Linked DNA regions of Schizosaccharomyces pombe. Changing the gene in region 1 together with any one later gene gives a genetic interaction. Each region holds a gene or a part of one and is shown in the gene's direction. Other genes may lie near its edges.

Region 1 (4,265 bases):
GACACTTTGAACTGTTTGCTCATTTTCTTTTAGTGTTGGTGAAATGCCATTTTCCATATGCGTAGGCATAACCTTATCTGAACCCTCAGCTTCCTCTACCTTACCCAAAGAACTAACTTCCATTGCGCTAGTTCCAAAAGGGACGATATAGTCATTGGTAGTATTTGCAAATAATATTCTTTTTTCAAAAAACGAAACAGCTTGAAAGAAAGGCGTGGAAGGATCAGACATCAAAACAAGGAAAGGTCTTGATTCAATGGAGTGATTCAGTGGAGTTAAAGATAAGTCTTGTCCTGTCTTACCAATGATACCATAGGACAAAGCCTTACCAATATAAGAAGGATGTTCACCAGCAACACCGAGCCAAGGAGTTGCCAAAGTTACAAAAAACACAGGGTGAATAGCCTGAAAAAAGGCACCGTGCGTTTTTGCATGTACATAACCAACAGCATATGTTTGAACCAATCCACCAAGTGAGTGGGCGACAACTGATATATGGGAATATCGAGGAAAAGATGCACTTCCCCAGCCCGTAATATCCAACAGCCATTCACCAAGTCGTTTACCCAGCCAGCGAACCCCTTTCTCAGTCTGACAGTAGTTACCGGTAAATCCTCGAACAACTACTAGTTCCTTAACAGATTTTGATGATTCTATTAGTTTTTCTTTTAAATACTCCATATCAGCACCAACATTAGAATGCATTCCATGAGTTAGCACCACCAAATGTGAATTCTTTGAATGAAATGAAGAATACGGAAGACGCCATAAATTTTCCGGAGTTTGATGTTCAACGTGTAGAGCAGGGAATGCATGAAGAGTATCGATATCAGCAGCTGACATGGCTCGAATGGAATGTTGAGATTGCGATATAGCAAGCTCAAAGTTAATAGATCTATCTTTAAAAATCGCCTGACTTGCAATTTCAATGTAAATAGGCTGCTGATTGGAAAAACATGAATAAGGTACACAGACCCAAAAACTAGTAGAGGGCTGTACCTGAGGATCAAAGTTTAATAAAGAATTTTTTTCATCAAAAAATTGGTCATTCCAAACGCTAACGCATAATGTAAATGGACCTTGAAGATAGGCTGCCTGGCGGAAACGTGCTTCTCTATTCCTGACACGAATCCAAAGTACCGAGTTAGTCGAATTTATGAAGGGAGCTGTAGAGTCGCTTCCTGCCAAGGGATTTTTTACTTCACGAAGATTAATAGAAGAGAATGAAGTACCTACAGAAGGAGAAGAAGAGGTATGAGAGACACCTCTTGTTTGTTCAGGTATGTTGATTGCATTGGTATTATCTGTAAACGCACCAACTTTATGATAATCTTTTGAAGAAGATGAAAAATCGCTGGAAAGAAGAGGTGAGGATTCTGAATTTGCATGCTTCGGATTCGTGCTACTATTATTCTCTGAGATTTGCTTGCTGATATTCTCCCCACTAGAGATTGTCATCCCACCTGAACCTGCTCTATCCTCGATGCTACCACTCTCTTTCTTAGTCACTGAATTGAGGTTCACAGTGGGGGGCACAGTTGTAGAAGACGTTGCCGAATGCAAATTGCCCCCACTCTGCACAAAAATTCGAAATCGATGTATTTGACCTAAACCAACTGTACCATGCCAATGTTAGAACAAGTATTAAATATTTATATGCCATCCCAAAATTTTTGCATCGAAACAAGCATAACAAATCGAAACTTTAAATAACGAGCTGATAATATCAACTTGCAAATACAATTTAAAGGAGTGGTAAATTTTGTTTAAAGTAACTTACCGTCATCTCGTTGTACATATACATTCATAATGTCAGAAGTCAAGCGATGACAACTCAAAAACTAGTAAATCTGAAAATTAGCTATTCGTGAAAGGTGAGAGATATCAATTATTTTTCAATACCGGTCAACGAATAGGGATAAAATTTTATCTGTTTCAATTAGTAAATCGCTAGTTGCTCATATCACGTAAAAAGTAACGCGAATTTATCAGTGTCCTACCGGTAAAATTTGTTCGCTCGATTCCTTTGTTAGACTAGCTGTTCGACGAACCTATATAAACTCAGTTTTTCTAATTTTTGAGCAAAAGCAAAAATCGAACGACTTCACGGGAAATAAAGCAAGATGGTAAGAGATGCATAAAAAGCTTTCTTTAATGAAGAAGACACCAAAATTGAGTCCTTTGCTAACAATTAAAGTCGTATAATGGAATTGGATTACCCACTCCAAGAGGATCAGGAACAAATGGATACGTAATGCGGAATCTGTCTCACGTAAAAAAATATGACAAAAATACAAATCTACAGTCAAATCGAAATGCAAAAGCTCTGGAAAAACGGGTTCAAGATCCTTCAATAAGCGAGCATGAATGCCGTCGACAAATTGAGTCGAAGTTGTTGTTGTACAGAGAGCAGTTGTTGGAGGAGGTCAGTTCCCAACACAGCACTGATGCAGCGGCATCTGATTCCAATACAAATTTTGGGACTGAAAACCCGAAGCCACCTAAAGCAATTATAAAAGATGAGCAATCACAATCGAAAACTAAATCTTTAGATGAAGCTGATGTAGAAATTTTAGTACAAAAATATCGAGAACAGTTACTTAAAGAATTGCAATTACAAAAATCTACTGAAAAAGGAAAAAATTTTGAATCCATTCTTCAACCTCAGAAAAGAAAAGAAACAAGAGGATTTCACTCGAAAAATGACGATGATGGGCGATTAGAAGAAAGAGACGATTTGAGATCATCAGTTGACGATGATTATTATGATTACCCGCGTTATTCCGAGAGGAAATCATTAAATTCAAAAAGGCATGTGGACAATTACAATGAAAATAGAAGAAGACATTACGATTCGTATTCCTCCTACGATGAATTAGAAAGACGACGGAGTAGTAATGAAAGTTACTCAAGGCGTTCTGAATTACCCAGAAGAGATTATAATAGACACGATGAACGGGAAAGGTATTCTTATCATAGAAGGAGAGAAAGAAGCAATTCACCCTCCTATACGAAGAATGAGTCAATTCCTGTTGTGGACAGGGATTCCTCTCCTGAGGGTGGCGAAATTGTATGAGGCCCAAAGAGTTAGGCCAGTTAAAACAATAATATAATAGGCAATTCATGCAAGCATGTATTGTTTATTAATATTGGATAATTATTCGGGTCATCAACAATCGTTGGATTAATATGAATATTTGGTTAGCAATACACGTTAGTCAAATCCCATGAAGCACACGACTGTTCAATGATATAAAAAATATTATTCTTCAAAGAAAAAATACTATCGACTTTATATTAAGGCTGTTAAGTTGCACGATTTAAACATCATTTGATATTTTTCTTTTTCACGGAGGGATAATGAAGCAATTTTAAATTTACAATTACGCTTTTACATTTGTATTTTAAATTCATTAATTAAGCATAAAAGAATCTTTTTAATAAAGATTTTCGAGATTATTCACGCGATTTTAGTCAAAGTAGCTCTTGGCGGCTTTGTTTTCCTGCATACTGTAAATCTCAGAGCTTTTATACCAATAATGTTTATTATATATATTTTACAAAATGAACTTGCTTTAAAGCAATATTAATTATATAATAAAACCAATTTATAAAAAAAATTATAATATAAGTTTAATTATAAATAATACAATTTTTATTTTCTGATGATCTTCGGATCACTTTGGTCAAATTGAAACGATACAGAGAAGATTGTAAGTAACAATATTTACCAAGGTTCGAGTCATACTAACTCGTTGTTTAGAGCATGGCCCCTGCACAAGGATGACACTGCGACATTGAGAGAAAACCCATTTTTTTTTCTAAACAAAATTAATCATACATTCAAATCTTGATTTCCAATCGCTTTAACTTTTTTAAAATAAATATCTATTGTTTCATATAACTTTCAATTTCCTAGATACTACAGTACATTAAACACGTATTACAACTTCTTGCTAAGTCGCAAAGCATTAATTAATTAGTTTTCTGTAGATAATTGAAAAGAAAAAAAACATTTTTTCATCGAAATTTTTTATTGGACAGGTAAATATATTTAACGCGATTACTCTATCGAAATCTGAATTAAAAACTAGTTAAAAATTTTCGACTAGCTTGTTTGTTACTATCGCCAATATACCAAGCTTTGTTCACAAAGCAATTGACTAGATGTAGGTTCATATAGCATATTATACGAATTGGCAGCATCAATGGGTAGGAACAGTGAGCTCGTATTTCACTTTAACGTCTCAAACGGAGCAAAGTTA
Region 2 (4,757 bases), on another chromosome or scaffold:
AAAACTTACTTCTTCCCACAATCTTTACAGAGAACAACATTAAGCATGAATAATTCTATTTTGAATGTATCATGTAAATTGCTTAGGCCGTGACACAACTGCTGAGGACTGCCAAGAACAATATGCTGAGGCATGCATCAACTATTTCCGAAAACAGCAGCGTTTTCATCAAGCTTCCTTCAGACAATGTTCGTTTTGTAACATTGAAACCAAACAAGTAAGTATGAGGATCTTAATTTACAATTTAAAGTACATTTTCAATGATAGCAATTGAAATTGTTTTTTGCATAAGGAGATAGAGGTGATCTAGTTTATCTCGTTCATATTGATCTTACTGACTTTATATTAAATAGTACAATTCACCTCGGAAAATTTGGTTCATTTCTCGCTGATGATTTGTTTGGAAAGCATTTTGACGAAACTTTTGAAATTTATCAACCCAAAAAAATTCGAGTTTTAAAAACAAGGGAGGTACAGTATATCGAGGAAGAAAAGAAAACGAATCAAGAACTTAATGATTGTCGAGGCAATCAGCTTATGACTCAAGAGGAGATTGATGAACTGCGCGCAAACATTAAAGCTGGTGGACTTCGTGCTGAAGAGGCCATCAAACAGTTGACTAATAGTAGTAAAACTTTTGAGCAAAAAACTTTATTTGCTCAGGAGAAATATGTTACGAGAAAAGGGGAAAAGTATCTTCAACGCTTTCAGGTTTTACGACCTTGTGTTGAAGTTGTGGCTAATTACATGATTGAACATGATCCGTATAAGATACTTGATCTTACTGCCGAGTGTATAAGCTTGATGCTTACTCTTGGAAATGTTAAACCTGGGGGTAGATATTTGGTAGTTGATGAGACTGGATGCATGTTCCTTGGTTCTCTTATTGACCGTGTTGCTGGTGATTGCAAAATAACCCTGGTCCATCCAAATGAGCAACCTAATAGCTCTTGTTTAGAGTATTGGGGGCAAGACTTTAAAGAGGATAGTTTGGTTCAAAAAGGGATTTTGAAAACTTTGAATTGGTATCAAGTTACGAATCCAACCGAGACTTTAAGTGAGTATTCGGTTGAAGATATTCCTGAATCAGAGTTGAATGAGATGAAACTTCGCCACCGTAAGCGCTATGAAACGAAGAAAGCTACATTTAACCGTTTGAAGAATACTATTGATGATTTTGAAAGTGGTAACTATGATGCTCTCTTTATACTATCTATTCACACCCCAATGTCTGTTCTTCAACATCTTCTTCCAAAGCTCGGTATATCACGTCCTTTCATGGTATACTCAACATATCAGCAAGTCTTAGTCGAGACGTATCATCAATTATCTAAATGGGATAACTTATTTGTAGAAAAGACAGCTCAAAGTACTGAAAATGACGAAAAGGTTGATCAAGGAGACGTTGCTATTGATACACAGAAAGAGAAAGTCATCATGCTGGATATTCATGAGATTCGTACACGACCTTACCAAGTCTTGCCAGAAAGGACTCATCCATTCATGACTGTTAGGGGTGATATGGGTTTCGTTTTATCTGGGATCAAGGTGTTAACTTCTGACAGCAATCTAGCTGCCGGAAGGTTTCCAAAACGTAAGGGCCAGAAAGAAACTTCTTCTGTCAAAAAAGCAAAATTGGAAAATTAGATATGAAATATTACTTTTGGAATATTTTTTTCAAGGCTACTCTATTAGATCAACAAGGGGAGTTACAATTTTGGACATAAACTCAGTTACGTTGAATTGGGAAAAGGTTTTTGTTATATTAAAAAGTTTTTTGTTTCATTCTTTAACTTAAAATTTTCATACGTATCAGAAAATGAATATGTTAGTTGGATAATGTAATTGACGGTGCGGTTTCAGGTTAACTCAATTTTGAAGAGCGTTAAAGTACAGTGTCTTTTGCTTGGCATTTTCATTCTTTTTAAAAATAGATTACTTGTAATAAGTATAAAATTAGTTACAATTTGACTGCTGCACATATACGTATTTAAGTAAAATAAGTAGTACATGGTCAGAGCAGCTGTGGATAGCCTTTTTGATCTTAAGCATGTTAATTTTAAATAAATATAAAAACTGATGAAAAAACAGCTTATAAATGACAATGTCGCATTTTGGTCTTATTTACTCGGTATAATGAACCCCATACTAGCGCTATCGCCAAGTTCGTTAATTTCGAAAGGACACCTAACCACGCTCCTTTCACCACTAAGCTTTACTTCGTCGAGTTTATAACCAATGACTGAATTTATTGGTTCTCGTATTAGTCTAATTAGCAAATCTGACATTCGGTACGTGAGAGCATTATCTTTCCTTTACTAATATTTAGTTATGTGGGCATTTTGCAGGACATCAATTCCCAGGACTCAACACTGGCTTTGAAGCATGGTAGGTTGAGTACCCAGCATTGATTACTAACAGTTTAGTCCGTTGGTGTGGTACTGAAGGAAGAAAACAAGATCCCTCTCAAGAAATCCCCCCATCAGATAATGTATTTGATTACATTGTTTTTCGTGGAAGCGATGTTAAAGATTTACGGATTGAGGAACCTGCTACTACTCCTTCTGCTCCCCCGGTTCAACCTCCTAATGATCCTGCAATTATTGGGGTATGTTACGTCTAAAGAGTGGTGGAGATTCTCATTAGTATATCTAGTATTAATTATCTTTGGCACTCTTTATATATCTGACAAGATCATGATTTTAACTATAATTAGTCTAATAGCGGGCAGTATAATTGGAACCAAGCGCAGACTGCCCAACCTCCTCAGCCTGTTCAACCTAACCCTTATGGAGCTCCATACCAACAGGCTCCTCCAGCAGGTGCACCTTACTATATGTACCCGAATGCTCCCGCTCAATTTGTACCTCCTGGAGGTTTGCCTTTGGGTACTCCCTTAGACGCATCCACACCTGCGGTCCCGTATTATGGGGCACCTGATCAACAGCAAATGGGTCAACGTCCTGAGTTTGCTCAAAATGTTTCTCAAGGGTTTGCCGGTCAGGCCCCGTACAACGTACGTCCTGGATACGGAATGCCTTCAAACCAGAAGCCTCCCAACTTTGCTCCGGGCATGCCTGCTCCTGGTCCTACCGCGGTATCTGCATCTCCGTCTCTTCAATCCATGCCGCCCACGAATGGAGTGATACCAGGTGCACAGCCCTCCATTGAAGCATCTATTGAAAAAGAAAGTACTAGTATACGGAATTCCACTGTCACAAATGACCGTGTTGTGAATACTACTGTGGATGTCTCTCAATCCCAAACCGTTGAAACATCTGGACCTTCTAAAGAAGTTCCTACAACTCAACCTGATGCTAGTGCTGCAAAGCCTCGTACCGAATTTGACTTTCAAACTGCAAATCAAAAGTTTCAATCGATGAAAGATGATTTGTTAAAAGGAAAAAATGATGAAGAAGCCGAAGAATTTTACAAGCCTAAGCAATCTTTTTTTGATAATATTAGTTGTGAAAGTAAAGAGAAGGGTATGGAAGCTGCAGATAGAAGAGCTCTACGAGATCGCGAACGTTCTTTGAACATGGAGACATTTGGCGTTGCTGGCTCTGGAAATCGCGGCCGTCGTGGACGTGGTCGTGGACGTGGTGGTAGAGGTCGTGGACGTGGATATGCAAGAAATCAATATAACCAATACAGGAATTCCAATGGCTCTCAACCTAGAGCCCAGCCTGCAAACGACCAATGAACTGCATTTCTTATAATGAGTACAGATGAAGTATCCTCGTTTCTCTAGATTGAGCTTCGTCTTCGTTTCAATCATGATGAACTCAAAATTTATGGACATGTATTTAACGACCCGAAAAAAGGTGTTCTCTTATATAAACCAAAAGGATTAGTCGTTGTTATTTGATATTTAACTTAGGAGTTTTGTTAAGTTCTTGTAGAGTGCTTTAAAAACTATACTTATCTGCTCATGTATTACGCAAGAAGAACAAGCATTGAAACGATATCCTATACCGAGATTTCGTAAAGGTATTACGAATAAATGTTAATGGGTTACATATAATTACCAAAAGGTTGAAGACTTAACCAATCCGCTAATGTTTATTCTTTTATACACCTTGATAGACCCAAAGCATCGCTGGTTGCATGACTGAACATTGAACAACCCGTGTTTTTCAACAGTCGTTTCGTTTTTGAAAAGCGTTTTGTAAAAATTTGATTCAGTCGACTTGTTTGAAGCTGACAAACTATAGAATCCAAACAACAATGTTTGAGCAGTATGAACAATTTATAAGCGAATCGTTTTAAAAATAAAAATGTGCTCTCTTAATTTTAGCATTTTTTAATAGTTTAAATTTCACGAACTTAACTACGTGATATAGTGTTTTAATAATCAGCAGTAGAAAAATTAGAACTTAATATTATTTGATCATCAACGAATATCGGAACGCAAGAGTTAACACGTAAACGATACATTACAATTATGTTTTGTTATCAAAAGTAAATTGATCCAGCGATTGAAGCTAAACCAGAGAAAAACATAAATGCGCTTCGAAATAAGTTTTTAAAACCCCATCTGTGAATTATACTGCGGAAATTTTGAGTAGCCTTTACATCTTTAAGTATTAGATCTGGATTTAACGTTTGTAAAGAGTTAATGTCCTTTTTCATAAACAAAAGCGTGAAAGGAATAATACATAGTCCAGATAAAGCCGATATAGCATACAATTTTGAAGAGAATATACTTCTCTTCCGTTCCGAATAAGACAAATAGCCCTGAACCAGAGCATTGGCAA

What was found.
Region 2: mutations in cwf21 (region 1) and sum2 together harm fitness more than expected from each alone (negative genetic interaction), as found in Schizosaccharomyces pombe (2 studies listed by BioGRID).

Annotation. Positions count from the first base shown.
Region 1 is NC_003424.3:2,561,822-2,566,086, reverse strand, and holds cwf21 (protein Cwf21), read left to right. Parts: upstream 1-1,836; 5' UTR 1,837-2,123; coding exon 2,124-2,126; exon of another isoform or gene 2,127-2,197; coding exon 2,198-3,076; 3' UTR 3,077-3,610; downstream 3,611-4,265. Other genes in the region: rog1 (lipase), read right to left, coding at 1-1,616, 1,781-1,808. UniProt on the Schizosaccharomyces pombe protein: Involved in pre-mRNA splicing. May function at or prior to the first catalytic step of splicing at the catalytic center of the spliceosome. May do so by stabilizing the catalytic center or the position of the RNA substrate.
Region 2 is NC_003423.3:265,252-270,008, forward strand, and holds sum2 (translation initiation inhibitor), read left to right. Parts: upstream 1-2,204; 5' UTR 2,205-2,238; coding exon 2,239-2,291; exon of another isoform or gene 2,292-2,329; coding exon 2,330-2,388; exon of another isoform or gene 2,389-2,426; coding exon 2,427-2,608; exon of another isoform or gene 2,609-2,716; coding exon 2,717-3,703; 3' UTR 3,704-4,157; downstream 4,158-4,757. Other genes in the region: trm6 (translation initiation factor eIF-3 gamma subunit Gcd10), read left to right, coding at 123-217, 354-1,647; SPOM_SPBC800.14C (uncharacterized protein), read right to left, coding at 4,456-4,757. UniProt on the Schizosaccharomyces pombe protein: Required for G2/M phase checkpoint control.